Linked DNA regions of Tamandua tetradactyla. The protein of the gene in region 2 purifies or fractionates together with the protein of the main gene of each other region. This does not show direct contact. Links are inferred from orthologs where the notes say so. Each region holds a gene or a part of one and is shown on either strand. Other genes may lie near its edges.

Region 1 (8,082 bases), on a different chromosome or scaffold from region 2:
TTTTCTCAAAGAGTATGTATGGTTCTAAAATGTAGACACTGTCTTACGTACCCCTATGTTCTGAATTACTTTAACCCCAACCTGTTTGGCTCTGTTTTTATCCCTAAATATCAGGTTATATATATAAAACAGCCTCTCAAAATGCAGAAATAATAATCACCACTCTGAACTTAATGTGTCTGCTCTAAAAGCTTACAATCTAGTCCACTGTTTTCTTATAAGCATTTTGTAAAGGTGACCATAACATTGTTGTTTTTTTGTTTCTGGCTTATTTTGTCTCACCAAATGTCCCACATGTTCAATCACATCATTGCATGCCTCACGACATTGTTCCTTTATGTAGCAGCACAACCTTTGTTCATAAGTATTTTGCCAATCTACTTCTCAATCAGCGCATCCATCAACCACCTGCATTCATTGGGCATCATGTAGAGGGCCCAAAGTCTCCAGCCCATCAACATTCTCAATTTTAGATAATTTCACTGTTCCCAAGAGACAGAAAACTAATGAACACACCCTCGCCAAATAGGAAATCTAAACCTCCTCTGAACTCTTGTCCCTCACACCATTATTTACCTCTGCTGATTAACATAGATTTTAAATCTCATTTACACATTTGCCAGCTAAAGTGGAAAAAAGCAATTACAAGCAAAAAGTGCAATAATACAGGCTTATATATTTTCCTATAGTTACCTTTACTGATGTTCTTCATTTCTTCCCACGATGTTTTAGCTTGTTAAAGTTGCTAGAATGCAACATACCAGAAATGGAATGGCTTTTCAAAAGGGAATTTATTAAATTGCAAGTTTTACAGTTCTAACCAATCCGAAGTAAGGCACCCAGAGAAGGATACTTTGATTCAAGAAAGGCTGATGGTTCTGGAACTCATCTGTCAGCTGGGAAGGCAGAAGGTGACATTTGCTAGCTTTATCTTCAGGCTTCTCCTTTCAAAGGACTTCCCTGGAGGCATTCTCCTTCTGCATCTCCAAGGATCTCTCTGTCTGTGTGAGCTCTCAATGTTTCTCAAAAATGGTTCTTGCTTAAAGGGCTCCAGTAAGCAACCCCACCTTGAATGGGTGGAGATACATCTCCATGGAAATCACCTAATCAAAAGGTACCACAACTGGGTACCCACAATTGGGTGGGTCACATCTCCATGGAAACAATAAAAAAGATCATACCCAGCAATACTGAAACAGGATTAAGGAACATGACTTTTCTGGGAGTATACAACAGTTTCAAACCAGCACACATGGCTCTGGCTTTGAGTTATTATCTAGTGTCCTTTTATTTCAGCCCCAAATACTTCCTTTAGCATTTCTTGTAGGGAAGGTCTGCTTTTACCTGTAATTGTCTTAATTTCTCCTTCATTTTTGAAAGATAATTTTGGCAAACAGAATTCTTTGTTGATAGTTTTTTCATTAAGGGCTTTAAATGTGCCATCCAACTGTCTTCTGGATTCCATGGTTTCTGATGAGAAACCTGCTGTTGATCTGATTGGGAATTCCTTGTGGGGAGTTGCTTCTCTCTTGCTTCTTTCCAAATCCTCTCTGTCTTTGGATTTTGAAAAATTTACTACAATTTGTCTGGGTGTCAGTTTCTTACAGTCTGTCTTGCCTTGAGCTCATTGAGCTTCTGATATGTGCACATTCATGTTTTTCATCAGATCTGGAAGGTTTTAGCCATTATAGCCTCAAATACTTTTTCTGCCCCTTTGTCTCTCATGTACTTCTGGGACTCCAATGATGCATATGTTGGTACATTTAATGGTATCCAACAGGACTCTCAGGTACTGTTCATTTTCTTCATTTTTTTTTTCTTTCTGCTTCTAACATTGGAAATTTCAATTGTCTTGTCTTCAAGTTCTCTAATCCTTTCTTCTGCTTGTTCAAATCTGCTGTTGGATTGTCCGAGTTTCTCATTTTGATTATTGTACTTTGCAGCTCTAAAATTTGTTGGTTCATTTTTATAATTTCCATTTCTTTATTTTGTTCAGACGTGTTTCCTAACGTTCTTTAGTTCCTTGCATATGGTTCCTTAAGCTCATTATAGTTAAGACAGTTGATTTAAAGGTTGTGGCTAGCAGTTTCAATATATGGGCTTCATAAGGGGTGGTTTCTGGCAAATTCTCTTTTTCCCGTGAATGGCCATACTGTTTTGGTTCTTCACAAGTTTTTGCACTTTTTTGTTGAGCACTGGGGTTTCTGAGTATTATCTTGTTATGTCTCTGGAAATCTAGTTCTTGTACTCCTCTTGGATTGCTGGGTTTTTGTTTGTTTTTTCTGTGGTTGTTGTTGCTGTTCTTGCTGAGGGCTGGAGCCATCGATCTGTGACTTTTGCAAACTATTTTTGTTCCCAAATGGAAATGGAAAGAGGAAAGAGAAAAAACTTAGTACTGCCTCTTTAAGACTCTTCTGCCACTTCTGCCTGACAGGGGTAGGTAGATGGGTAAATTTGTAAATTGAGAGTATTCCAGAGAATAAAGAGGGAACTGATGATGACTTGTTCTATGAAGCCAACAAAACATTGATACTAAAAGACATAATGGGAAAGAAGAATGTGTAGGCTATTCTTTCAGAAACATAGGCACTAAAATTCCAAACAAAATACATGCAAAACAAATCCAGTGATATATGAAAAAGATAATAAATCACAATCAAGCTGGATTCCAGGAATGCAAGATTAATTTAACATTCCAAAATTAACCAACATAATTCACCATGTTGACAGAATGAAGGAGGAAAAAATAAGAACATTTCAAAAGGTGCAAAAAAAAAAACATTTGATAAAATTCAACACCCATTTATGATAAAATACTTAGCAAAATAAATATCCAAGGGAATTTCCTCAATTGGAGTAACTGTATTTACCAAAACAATCTAATGAAAATATAATGAACAGTGAAATCTTAAAACCTTTCTCCTGAAATTGGGAATGTAACAAAGATTTCTGCTCTCACCAATTCTATCTAGCACTGTACTGGAGGACCTAGCCAGTGCATAAAGGGAAATAAAAAGAAATAAAGTATGAGGATTTGAAAAGAAGAAATAAAATTGTGTAGAAGATAATTCCTAGAAGATACTTTGACTGTACAAAATCCAAAATAATCTCCAAAAAAAAGTTCAAATTAATAATTAAGATCAATGGACCCATGGTCAATAAAGGAAAATTGGTTGTATTTCTATATACAAGTAACCATTATAAAATTTAAAAATTCTAAATCATACCATTAGCAAAGGATCAATATGTCAAACAAGGAGGCCTGTGGGGAGATAGAAGGGTAGGATACTTCAGGAATCAGTCCCTTTACCAAAAGAATGATTGTATAAGAACTGTCGGAATCCAATATTGTGGAGCTCTGGAGTCTGGAGGAACACTGTGCAGCATTCAGTAACAAGCTGGAAAAAGAGGCTGGTAAATTGCGGTATCTGAAGTTGAATTTCACCCTGTGCAGTGGTTACCACCCCCACCCCCTCAACCACATGGCAGGCATCAATGGGGGCTGCAGCCCTGGCTCCTGGGGAGCTTGCTGGTGTAGGGTGAGCTTAGAAGGACCTAGTCCTCCCAAATCCGGGTGTGTGGTCTGCTCATTGATCACTGCTTTTCATCAGCTACTCCAGAATGCTGGGGGGGGGGGGGGGGGCGGGCAACTCTGCCACTTATGCCTGACGGGGGGTAGGTAGATGGGTAGACATTAATTTAAGAATCTAAAACTTCCAATAACTTAGTCACCCATAAGTCTTTTCTTATTTTTTCCCCTTATTTTTCTGTCCATTTTTGGTCCTGTGTCCTGGCATGCATATTACATTTTTATTGGATGCTATACATTTTGGGTGAAAAGGAGGGGAGCATCTTTTCATTTGTTTAAGAGCATCACAGCACTTGTTATTTTCTTTGCTCTGATCCTGTGGGTGAATATCCTTGTCCATTTTTCTACTGCCTTGTTTATCTTGTTCTCATTTGCAGAATGTCTGTGGGTTAAGGAACTTAATTCTTTGCGTGGGATATGGCTAGGAGATGTTTTTTCTGAACCAGAGTTTTCACTTTGACAGTCACACACTTAAAATTTTCATGTCGTCTGATTTATCAGAGTTCTTTTATCTCTCACGGGAGCCTGCAACGTTCTAACTGGAGTTTCTATTCCTTCTTCCCTCCACCATCTCCAAAGCCCATTCTCAACGGGGATTCGGAGTCTTGGCCCCCTCTGCCCTCCCTCTAGTGGTGACCCTCTCACTCCCAGGCCCCACAGACCTCTGCCGCAGCCGGCCCTGGGCAGGTGGTGCACACTCACCTGCCAGCCCCCCACCCCTAGCGCCTTGGTGTGGTGCAGCTGCTTTCCTGGTCTGCGCGGCGCACGGCTCAGAAGTGTTTCGTGATCAGTAGTTTCAGGATTTTGCATCCTAGTTAATACTTTCTCCACTCAGAAACTGTTTTCCAAACAGTCTCCCCTGGATTCTGCTTTCATTTCTTCCCTGTAGAACTGGGAATCCCCTGGGGTTACCCAGGCGTCTGGACTCGCCGGAGTGGCCGGGGTGGAGCGCAGGGCCCAGGCCACCCAGGGCGCCGCTGGACTCCGCGCCCCTCCTCCGGAGCCTCGCCCCCCCCCCTCCCCTCCCCTCCCCTCCCTCCTCTGACTCCTCCCCCCTCCCCATCTCCCTCTTTCCCCCACCCCTTTCTCCTCCCCCCTCCCTCCTGCTCCCGGTCAATTTCTACTCCCCCCTCTCTCCCTCGTCCAGCCCCGGCCCGCGCGATCCGGCGGCCTCAGCGGGTCACCAGGCACCGGCCTGCGCCCAGGCCCGCCCCGCAGGCCGCGAGCTCCGCCAGGAACCCGCGCCGGGCCAACGGCCGCGGCGGCCCGCGCGGGAAGCCGCGAGCGAGGCCCCGCCCCCTCGTTCGAACTCGCGGCCCCGCCCCCGAGCCCGGCCAATCGGCGCGCGCGGCGCGGCGGCGCCATGGTGACACTTTGTAGGCGCCGAATGGCCGCCCGGCCCCGCCCCGCGCCCGCCCGGAGGGCCCTCCTTAGGCACCAGCGCGCTGCGGCCCAGGCGGCAGGCGGACCTCGGCGCGCAGGTGAGCGTCCCCGCGGCGGGGCTGAGGGTCGGGGCGGACGCCGGGGTCCGGTGGCGCGCTCGAGGTAGGTCCGCGGCGCGCCTTTGTGTCGCGTCCGGAGGACGCTGCGATGCCCTGAAACCCCCGAGGCCCCGACACCCCCAGTCTCCGATACTCCCGAGGCCCCAACTCCGCCCAAGGCCCCGTCGTCCCGACAGCCGCGCCCCTGGCGTCCGGAGGACCCGGGCCTTTCACCTTGGCGGGGACCCGGGAGGTCCCTGCGGCCGGGGTGGTCTCTCCCCGGGCACGGGGCTCTCAGGGACTCGCGGCATTGCCTGGAGCTGTGGGCGGTGTGGGACGGGGGGCGGGGTGGGGCTCCCCGGAAGGGCCCTGAGCGAGCTCGACCACCCGGCGCGGGCGGGAAAGCCAGCACCTCCCCCCACCGGGCATGAGTCATCAGTCTTCTGGGAATCCCCTCTGGGTTCCTATGTCTTCATTTTCCCCAGCCTTTATCATTTTAAATAAAAAGATATTACCTGCCCATGGCTTCAGTCAAATTGTTGACTTTAAACAAAGACAAAAGTTAAGTGCACTTCCTTGGCCGGGTGTGAAGAGATTGCCTCCTCAAAGGCCCCCAACTGTCCTCTTCACCTGTATCCTCAGTTGCTCTGGGCGACAGTTCCTGCCCTGCTCGGCACCGGGGTCCCCTGCCTTCTGGCTTCAGCCTTGAATTTATAGCCATGACCCGAAAGTTGCGCAGCTGCCTTAGGGTCTCACCATCTGTCTGTCTTTACCTGTTCTGCCATCTGTCCATTTAGCCTGCTGTGCATTGTTCATCCATCCTCACATACATTCCCCATCTGTCCTTCCCTCCCTTTCTCCTCTACCTCCCTCCCTCTCTCCCACCCATCCACCCACCCATTCATCCTGGCCAGATGTTGCCCTTTGTATTTCATCCCTAAAGGCCTCCCCCGAGGTGGAGTGAGGTGTGGGTGTGGGTTCTTAGCAGTAGAGAGCTTGAATTTTATCTTTGGTCCTGTTAGCAAAAGTGGGTTTTGCCTCTTGATGTAGGCACCTTCCAAAATGGCCTGCCAGGGTCCCCCTTCTCTGGAACACTAGGGGACAGGGTGGGCTGGCTTGGTGAGTTTCCCTTGTTTTTTCCAGATTGGATTGCTTTAAGAGGCCCGTTTCGGGTGTGTTGCAGTGGGGCCTTCTCTAATCTTGTCGGGCTGTCAGGGAGCCCATGGTGCGGGCATTAGGTGGCTGCAGGCTTGTGCCTGCCTGCCTCCCCGCAGGCTAGTCCAAGCTGCACGGGCACGTGGAGACAAAGTGCGGGCGCGAGAGGGTGTGGAAAGAGCAGGGCCCCAGAGCCTCATCCTAGCTACTCTACATTTTCAGGTTTTATCACACTTCATTCAAATCCAGACCAGATCAGTTGCCGCCTTCCTTTTTGGGAGGGTGGCACGGTTTGTCTCAGGCAAAAGGAAGTTCGAGTGTTTCATTCCAAGTGACAAAAGCCCTTGAAACTAATTTTCTAGTAATTGCTTGTGAAAAATTTCAGGCAGACAATAGGAAAGTGAACCCACATATACATGTACCTGTCACTCAGATTCAGCATTTTGCAAGGCTTGTCTTCTTGTTCTCTCTTTGGTGAAGTATTTCAAAGCAGCTCTAATCCACTCGTAGAAATGAATTTGTGTTGATTTACCTCCTGTGGGTCCAGCGCCAGGGGCTGGGGTCAGCACCACTTCTCCCCGGGCCAGGCAGGACACTTGGTCTTCAGCCCCTCTTGCTGTCCTGCTCTCCGAGGCTTTGGCCCCAGGCCGCTGTCCCCTGTTTTGCTCAGCCTGCCCAATGCTTGGGCTTGTGGAAGGGGCAGAGCTGCTTTTCACCCAGGAGTGAGCCTGGTGACCTCCTGGGTTTAGGTGGAAGACTGGCACCCCAAGGAATTGGCAGCTTTGGGCATTCAGCTGATTCTGTGGTGACAGAATGGGAGTGGGTCACAGCTGGTATATGCTGTTGGGAGCTGCCCAGTGAGCCAGACCCTGCCGTGAGGCCACCTCCAAGGACGAGGCCCTCTGTCCTTTATGTGATCCAGAGGGACTGAAGCGGGCTCAACGACAGTCCCCATGCTGACCTTGTCCCACACATTAGTACTGCCTGGCTCCTTCCCCGGTCCAGCCTGCGAGGAAGGAGGAAGGACTGTGAGGGCCTCAGTCCAGCAGCCAGGGCAGCCCTTGGAGGTGACAGGCTGGTGGCAGCTGCCCTGAAGGCCTCTTTGGAATGATCCATCTGTCAGCACCTTTTACATTGGATATAACAGAAAGCTGATGATTACTGAAGATTTGGGACATTGGAAAGGTGAAGCTTCAGAGTGGTTTTTAAAGTATACGTGTGTCAAGGCTCAGGGGGAAGCAGGAGTGGCGACGTGGAGAGTGGTTTTAGGTTTTCAGTCAGTGCTCCTGCCCCCACCATCAGCTGGCCTTAAGCCTTCAGCTTGTAGAGAGGGGCTGCTGCAGACATGTCAGAAGGGGACGGAGTCTTAACTGTGAAGGGGGGCAATTTGTAAAGGCTGGTAAAGTGGGAGTGAGCAAGTGTGAAAAAATGAAGAAAACTGGTGGAAGAGTGAATTGTGTCGTTCCCCCCCCCCCCCACTTCCTAGAAACCGGTTTGACAGGTTGGTGAGGGGCCTTAAATGTGTTCTCCCCCTTTGCCTCGTCCTCAGTCCAAGATGGAGGCTCAGGAATCGGGTGCTGACAGTGTCCAAACCCAAAGCCACGAGACAGTGCCATTGGTACCGGGGGAGCTGTAGTGGTGCCGAGGCTGTGGCGAGTGGTGACATGCGGTTCTCTAGTACCTCCATAGGTTGGAGTGAACGTGCAGCTACTGGAAAGAATCAGGAACTTTTTTTTTTTTTTTACATGAGCAGGTACCGGGAATTGAACCCGGGTCCTCTGGCATCGCAGGCAAGCATTCTTGCCTGCTGAGCCACTGTGGCCCGCCCAGAATCAGGAACTTTTTTTACGTGATGTG
Region 2 (7,779 bases):
TGGGGACCACAAGCCCCATGGGACCCTACACATGCACAGGCACGCCGCAGATGTGCACACACATCTACTGCAGATACGTGCACTTACAAACTATGCAAACACAGACATACACACACGTGCACCTACAAACTATGCACACACACATACACACACGTGAACCTACAAAATGTGCCTGTGCACACACCCCCACACACGTGCACCTACAAACTATGCTCACACATCCACACACGTGTACCTGCAAGCTATCCACACACACATACACACACACACGTGCACTACAAACCATGCACGTGCACACATCCACATACGTGCCCCTACAAACTATGCACACGCATACATACAAGTGCTCTTATAAACTATGCACAAACATGCATACACACACGTGCACCTACAAACTATGTACGTGCACACACACACGTACACTTACAAATTATGCACACGTACACACATGTACTTACAAACTATGCACATGCACACACACGCACACCAAATGCTATGCACACACACATACATACACACACGTGGACCTACAAACTGTGCACATGCACAGGTGTGCCTACAAACTACAAGCTCTGGTCCCGGCCCCCGCTTCTAAGGACCACTGTGATGCCCTCAGACTTGCCCTAGGTCCAGTATCACCTCCATCTCGGACCCTTCACTTAACCTCACCCGCAGCTCCCTCCTGTTCCCACATTCACCAGTCCCAGGAACTAGGATGCAGTCATCCGTGGGGGCCGTGGGTGGGCTGCAGACAGCCAGGGAGGTGGAAGACCCTGACTGCACCCAGCGTCTGCTGTCCTCCCAGGCCTGGGAAGCCTGGGGAGGCTGCCCTGGCTAGTGGCTGCCCCATTTCCCTCCTACACCTGTGCTTCATCATTTGCACATTTAACCCAAGAGTGAGGACTTGGTGTTCTAGTTCAAAGAAGCTGCCAGAATGTGATAGACCAGAAATGAACCGGCTTTTAAAAAAGGGAATTTATTAAATAGCAAGTTTACAGTTCTAAGGTTGTAAAAATGTCCAAATTAAAGTCAGCCTATGCAGATGTACAAATTAAGGCATCAGGGGAAGACACCTGGGTCAGGAAGGCTGATGATGTTCAGGGTTTCTCTCTCAGCTGGAAAGGTCCATGGCGAGATCTGCTGGCTTTCCCTTCAGTGGCTTCCCGGGGCTCTGCCTGTTCTGTGGGCTCTGTTGGTTCTGGTGCCTCTAAAGCTTTTTCCAAAATGATTCCCTCTTAAAGGGCTCCAGGAAGCAACCCCACCTTGAATGGGTAGAGACACTTCTCCATGGAAACCACCTCATCAAAAGTTACCACCCACAGTTGGGTGGGTCACATCTCTATGGATAATTAAAAAGCTCCGACCCAGCAATATTCAATGTAGATTAAAGAATGCGGCTCTTCTGGGGCACACCACAGCTTCCACCAGCACGCTTCGGTGGTCCGTTCTTTGGTTCTGACCTGAGGGCTGCCCTTGGGGAAAGGAAGTCCCTGCCCGATAGGAGAAAATCCAGGGGGACAACGGGGGCACAGCGCTCCCACCTGGCAACCCTCTGTTCCCGGCTCCACATGGAGATACCTCCCACCCTGGCTGCCTTTGAATGGACTTCTGGAAGGCAATGCTATTAGGTATCCGGTTTTCCCCAAGAGGAAGAGAACGCCAAAACCCGGTTAGGGCGGGCTGGGGAACTGGCAGGAGGAAGGCTGGTCCTTGCGAGGTCCTTGAAGCTGCTCTGAGGGCAGAGGGAAAGGGGAGGGGCATGCAGGACAGAGCAGGGCTGCGGGCCGCCATGGGCCCCACAAAATCGAATTGGGATGGGGGGTACAAAGCAACCGCAGGACGTCTCCAAGTCCACTGAGAGCGCTCTCCCCACCCAGGCCCCAGGCATTAGGATGAGCAGCCTGCCTGGACCACCTGCCCTTTCCATAAATATACAAGTGCAGGTTCTCCCCTAGAGGCTGGGTCCTACCTTACTTCACGTTTTACAACCTCCGGTCTCGAGGTTGAGGGGCCTGGCCTTGAGGGCAGACCTGGGCTGTGGTTCTGAGCAGTCATGCAGCCTTGGGCAAATCGCTTCCTTATCTGCTTGTGGGATCTCCTGAGCACTGGGTGAAAGCAGGCAAAGTGCTCTGTGGGTGCTCGTGGGACCCCTGGGAGCAGAGGCAGTGGGGAGCACAGGTGGGCTCTCCCCCATACCTGCCCCCACGGGCCCCCAGACGTGGCTCCATGGCCCTGCCACGCAAATACTAGGCAGGTGACACTCAGTCAGTGACTGAACTAAAAGCCCAGTCCCCAGGATGGCGAAGGCCAGCAAGATGAGCAACCCAAGCACACCTGTTTCTGCATAAGCACTCGCATTCGCTTTCTACTCCTGCCGTGACAAAGGACCCCAGGCCTCCGGGTTGGAAAGAGCACCCGTTTGTCACCTCATGGTTCTGTAGGTCAGAGGCCGGGGACCCCATGGCAGCCAGTTCCCCACTGAGCAGCTCATGGGACGAAATCAAGAGGTCCCCTGAGCTGGAGTCCTTTCTGGAGCCCTGGGATGAAGCCTGCTTCCAAACCCTTGCAAGCAGTTGGCAGGACCTGGTCTCGCTGCTGGCCGTGGCCTGAGGTCTCCGTGCCAGCTGCCTTGGCCCCCCGAGGTGGCTTGCCTCCCCCACCCCAGGCCTTCCCAGAAGCGGGCTCAGCAAGGGGGCTCGGACTCCCCTGCAGTTCCCATCGCTGTCTCGCCAACCCTGCTGGAGGAAGGGCTCTTCTCCTAAGTGCTCTTTTGATCACACTGGGCCCACCTGGGTCAGCCAGGGAAACCCCCCCCCATATTGAGGGCTGTGGAGTTACAGCAGCAAAGTCCCCCTTGCCACATGAGGTGGATAATCCACAGACTCCTGGGGACCAGGGCACCCGCGTTTGGGGGCCATGACTCTGCGGACCCGATGCTCTCGGAGTCCCACACAGCTCAGCAGGTAACGAACTCTGGAGAATGGGGGAGGGGAGCAGGCCCCCACCACCGGAGCAGGATGGAAAGGCACCCAGGGCCTGAGCAGGTGACCTGCAGCCTCGGCCTGGACACCCAGCAAGGCAAAGAGAACCACTGTAGTGGTTCTTGAAAAGGAATACACACCCTGATAAAAATTGCCTTTTTCTTCTACGCACACCCTTTTTTTTCAGTACTTTGCTATGTAACACGGTCTGACTTCTACATTTTTCTTTCTCCATTACCCGCTGTGTTCCTCACTGACCCCCGGCTAGCGCACCACCTCCCGCGTACCCGCCGGAACTGCTCGGAACACCTCCGCGGGGATCCCCACATTCGGCCTCCAGAAGGGTGAGGCAGCCACTGCGACTCCATGGCGACCCCGAGGGCAGTTACGGCTTCGCTTGCCGAAAATCTCCTAAGTGGCGGTGACCTGTCCCTGGGCCTCTGAAAGCAAGCCCGCTAGGAAAAAAGATGAGCCCAGCGGAGGTCCAACGCCGAAAAAAAATTTTTTTTTCACATGGGCAGGCACGAGGACCGAACCCGGGTCTCCGGCATGGGAGGCGAGAACTCTGCAACTTAAGCCACCGTGGCCACCCAACGCCGAAAGTTTTCCTGCTGCTGGTAGGCGAGGGCTCCCCGCGCCTGGGAGTCCCCCAGAGTCGGACAGCAGCGAGCCCGCGCTCCCAGGCTCCCAGGACCGGGACGGTCCCTGCTCCGCGTGCTCAGACAGCAGGACGCGCAGAGCCGGCCGGCGGGGTAGGGCCCGGGGAGGGAGTCAGCTTAAAGGGGGTCAGCTCGCAGTGGGGCGAGTCCAAGAGGGGGGTCAGCCGGCCGAGAGCCGCTGACCTGCGCGGCACTTGGCAGCCCTGACCTACGCCGCCGCGGGGTTCGCGGAAGGACCGCGTTCCCATTGGCCGAGGCCCGGAAGGGGCGGAGCCCAGGTAGAGGCGAGACATGTGGGGCGGTGCTCGCGGAAGTACTGCGTTTCCATTGGCCGAGACCCAGAAGGGGCGGGGCCCGGGTAGAGGCGAGGCATCTCGGGCGGGGCTCGCGGAAGGACCACGCCTCCATTGGCCGAGGCCCGGCAGGGGCGGGGCCGTGCGTGAAGCACTGCCGGGCGGGCGCGCCCTCTGGAGAAGCCCGGGGGCTAGAGTCGCGGCCACCACCCGGGCCCACCCGCCAAGTCCCTGGGGATAGAGCTTCGCGCTCTCTAACATCCCTCTGAGAGAGCCAGGAGGCCGGCGGCGGCCCTACTGATGGTCTTCCAGGGAGCACCTGTCACTGAGTCCCAAGCACTAGGTCACCCCAGACGCCAAGAAACCCGACGGGCAAGAACCCGGCCCACGGCACTGAGGAGTCCCTTTTTCCGGCCCTGGGCGGAGCCGTGGCCCTAGGCTAGGGGGCGGGGCACGGCTTGCGGCCCGCGGTGGATTGTGCGCAGGCGCCGTCGGAGCGCGAAGCGCCCCCGACAGCCCCCGCGGCCGTGCCGGCCCCGCCCCCGCGCCGGGGGCGCCCTCCCCGGACAGCTCCGCCCCCCGCCCGCGGCGCGCTCGGAGGAGGGATGACGTCATCGAGCGGGGCGACGGGCATTGGGCGCCATTTTGAAAAGGGAAAAAAAAAAATCACTTCCCGGCGGCGGCGGAGGCGGCGGCGGCGGCGGCGGCTGGGCGGCCGGGGCTGAGATTCCAGGGCGGCAGCAGCGCGGCGGCCGCCTCCTCCCGTCAGCCGCAGTCGGCGCGGCCGACGCGCCGCCCCCGCCGCCGCCTCAGCGCGCCCGCCGCCCGCCGGCTATGGCAGGTGAGAGGCCCGCGCCGCGGCCGGGGGCGAGTCCGGGGCGGGGGCCGCGGCCCGCCTGACGCGCCGGGTTGTGTGTTTGCAGGAGCCGGCGGCGGCTGCTGCCCCGCGGGCGGCAACGACTTCCAGTGGTGCTTCTCGCAGGTCAAGGGAGCCATCGACGAGGACGTGGCCGAAGGTAAGGCGCCCGCGCGTGGGGCGCGCCCCGGGCCCTCCTGCCCTCGGCCGGCCGCCGCGCCTCGTGGCCCGGCAGGCGCTGTCCCGAGCGCGCCCTGGCTCCGGGCGGCACCGCGGCGCGTCTGCTCGGCGACCCTGTGGGCCCGGGCGTCCCGGGACGTCGCTGCGCGCTCGGGCCGGCCGGGGGCTGGGCTGGCCGCGCGTGGGCCCGCGTCCGAGTCGGGTGGGCCCGGCCGGGGCCGCGGAGCTGGCGGCGGCGGCGGGAAGCCTCCGGGGAACGTGGCGCGGCGCGGCTCGCCGACGTGTCGTGCTCGCGGGCGGGAGGGCATGGACGCGGCTGGCCTGAGGGCTTATGTAGGTACCGAGGTCGCCGAGCCGGGCAGGGTGGAGCTGGGCGAGAACCCGCGTCCTCCCAACCCGTTCCCGGTGGTCTGCCGTGTCAGTGCCGGCCTCTGCGTTCGTGGAGCCGAGGACGTAAAGGCAGGAACTGGGGCGTCGAGGAGTCCGTTTGGGGTCTCTGTTCCGGCGGAAAGATGCGGAGCGGCGGTGCCGGGGGAGTGGGTGCCTGGTCGGGGGTCTCGGTTCCAGGCCCAAGCCCTGTGCGAACCCCCGGGCTGTCCTCGCCAGGGTTTCTGCCTCGCTTTCTTCATCTTCAGAAAGGAAGCTTGGCTACCGAGCTCTCAGGTCCTTTCTGAGCTTCTCACGTTCTTGGATTTTGAGTGTCCTTACCGCAGAGCCAGTCTTGAACCTCAGGGCATTGGCTTCCGTGGGCATGTCTTTCCTGAGCTTTGCGTTCCGCGGGCCAAGGCTCAGAGTCTTAGGTGGGGTGTGGGACCTGGGAGTCTCTCGTGCCGCCCTCGCGTTCCCCATAAAGCCCGTGTCCTTGTAGAGTGCGTGTGTATGCACGCAACATGTGTGCTTAAACACAGTTGGATGTAGAAGTGATTCTTAGAGACTCTGTTTCAGGTTTAAAGCCAGGGCACTTTGTGTCGTGTTCGGTCATCTTGCTGAACATTGTGCACTTTCACTCTTCTCTTAAAAGTGATTTACCTTGGCTAGTGCTTTGCCCCAGGTACATCTTCCCTCCCCTAAGAAACTGGTCAGATGTCTTGTCAGCTTTCCTCCACCTTGGCCATTTGAGTAACCTTTCCCCCTGCACCCTGTATCTCTCCCCGGCAGGGTTTAGTTTGACGCATGACCCTGAGGACATCTGGAGATCCTTGGCCCCGGGAGACGTCAGTGCCTGTATTAGTAAGCAGGAAACTCTCCTCAAAGAAATTTGTAAAGATGTATAGGACTTGAAGCTGAAGCTAGGTGATTTTATATAACATAACTAATTTATTGAAGATTCTGTTTCTTTTATATTAATTGGACATAGTTGTTCTTTTTGTTTCATTTTGCATGTGCCAGGTGAGTGAGAGCTGAGCCTCACTGGAATGAAGTAGTGACTTATCTCAGGAGGAAGGAGTATGTGTGTGTGTGAGGAGTCTTCATGCCTGCTCTAAGTTCCCATTTCTTTCTCATTTAGAAGCTTTTTCACCAAGCTGAATGAATTAAAATTAAATGTGACTTTAGCGTTCCGCGGGCCAAGGCTCAGAGTCTTATGTGGGGGTGTGGAACCTGGGAGTCTCTCGTGCCGCCCTCGCGTTCCCCATAAAGCCCATGTCCTTGTAGAGTGTGCGTGTGTATTTTTTTTTGAATGTGACATTTTTGAATGTGACATCTCAAAAATGGCATTATTCTCTTTAAAAATCATTACAAAAATGTTTTGTTCTCTAAATTAAACTGATCGGAAGTTTTTGCAATTTCAAACCCTTATTTTTAATTCTCTAAAAGTTTTATAATTCAGGTTGTTGACTTTTTCTAAATTGCTTGTGGTGATGACCCACTTTTTAAATTAATGTATGTGTTTGAAGCTTTCTGTTTTAATCCATATGTTTAACTTGAGTAACTGATTGCGGTTAACACATTTATCACTACCATTTTGTCAAATGGTTTTGATATTACTAGTTTGAATTGCATTATTACCATAGAAGTTAGTGATGAAGGAAAAAGCAATCATTAGAAAGTTGGGTAATGTGATTTGCAGAATTTGTGTCTCAAACTCAACCTTGAAGTGAAAGAAATTTTCATTAGAGGAAATTAATAGGAAATGAGTGATTCAGGAGAGGCTGCAACTTTCACTGAACAATTGAAGGTGTAGTAAAATTTATTTGTGGTTTGTGAGGTATTTTGCTCTTGAGGTTTTGTTCTGGTTCAAACTACTCCCCAGAGTTCGACCTTAATCTTACACTTTAGACTGTCTTTCTGCGTCTCCCTGTGATGGATAGGTATGAAGAAGAAAGTCCAAGGGACATTGAGGCTTGGGTCCGTTTCTTCTTTTGATAACAACAGCTCTTAGAGAGGATGGGGAATAGGGGTTAAAAGTAAGCACTTTTGACTTTGAAGGTTGTGGAATGAATAAAAAGGAAAGAGGCTTTTGGTTTTGGTTTCCTTTTTGTTTTTAAAACTAGTAATTTCTAGGTTCTTTAATCATAACTCCTGATGAAAGTATTGGACTGTGTAAAATGTATTTTTTGGCTTGTTTTTTTTAAGAATTGGGTTTTTCTGTGGGTCAGGTCAGCCTTAGTGCTAAGAGTCAGTAATGCTGTGTGTGAGATCATTGTTTTCCCATCTCTCTCTCTCTGTAATTAGGAGGAGATCAGGGCTTAAAGAAGGTTAGTAATTGTCCTGCTGGCAGCAAGAATGTTGACTGACAGTGGTGACAGGCCTCTGGTCATCAGTCATCGGACTGCCTGGAAGGTGGGATAAATGGAACATTTATGCCTAGG

What was found.
Region 1: the proteins of PPP2R2D (region 2) and CDCA4 purify together in Homo sapiens (affinity purification with mass spectrometry; 3 studies listed by BioGRID and IntAct, counting the BioPlex papers as one, with this or other methods). This does not show direct contact. The link is inferred for Tamandua tetradactyla from reciprocal best matches to the Homo sapiens genes PPP2R2D and CDCA4.

The regions. Positions count from the first base shown.
Region 1 is NC_135340.1:87,618,566-87,626,647, forward strand, and holds the start of CDCA4 (cell division cycle-associated protein 4), read left to right. Parts: upstream 1-4,998; 5' UTR 4,999-5,070; exon of another isoform or gene 5,071-5,134; intron 5,135-8,082. UniProt on the Homo sapiens protein: May participate in the regulation of cell proliferation through the E2F/RB pathway. May be involved in molecular regulation of hematopoietic stem cells and progenitor cell lineage commitment and differentiation.
Region 2 is NC_135339.1:94,499,150-94,506,928, forward strand, and holds the start of PPP2R2D (serine/threonine-protein phosphatase 2A 55 kDa regulatory subunit B delta isoform), read left to right. Parts: upstream 1-4,740; 5' UTR 4,741-4,767; coding exon 4,768-4,774; intron 4,775-4,856; coding exon 4,857-4,949; intron 4,950-7,779. UniProt on the Homo sapiens protein: Substrate-recognition subunit of protein phosphatase 2A (PP2A) that plays a key role in cell cycle by controlling mitosis entry and exit. Involved in chromosome clustering during late mitosis by mediating dephosphorylation of MKI67.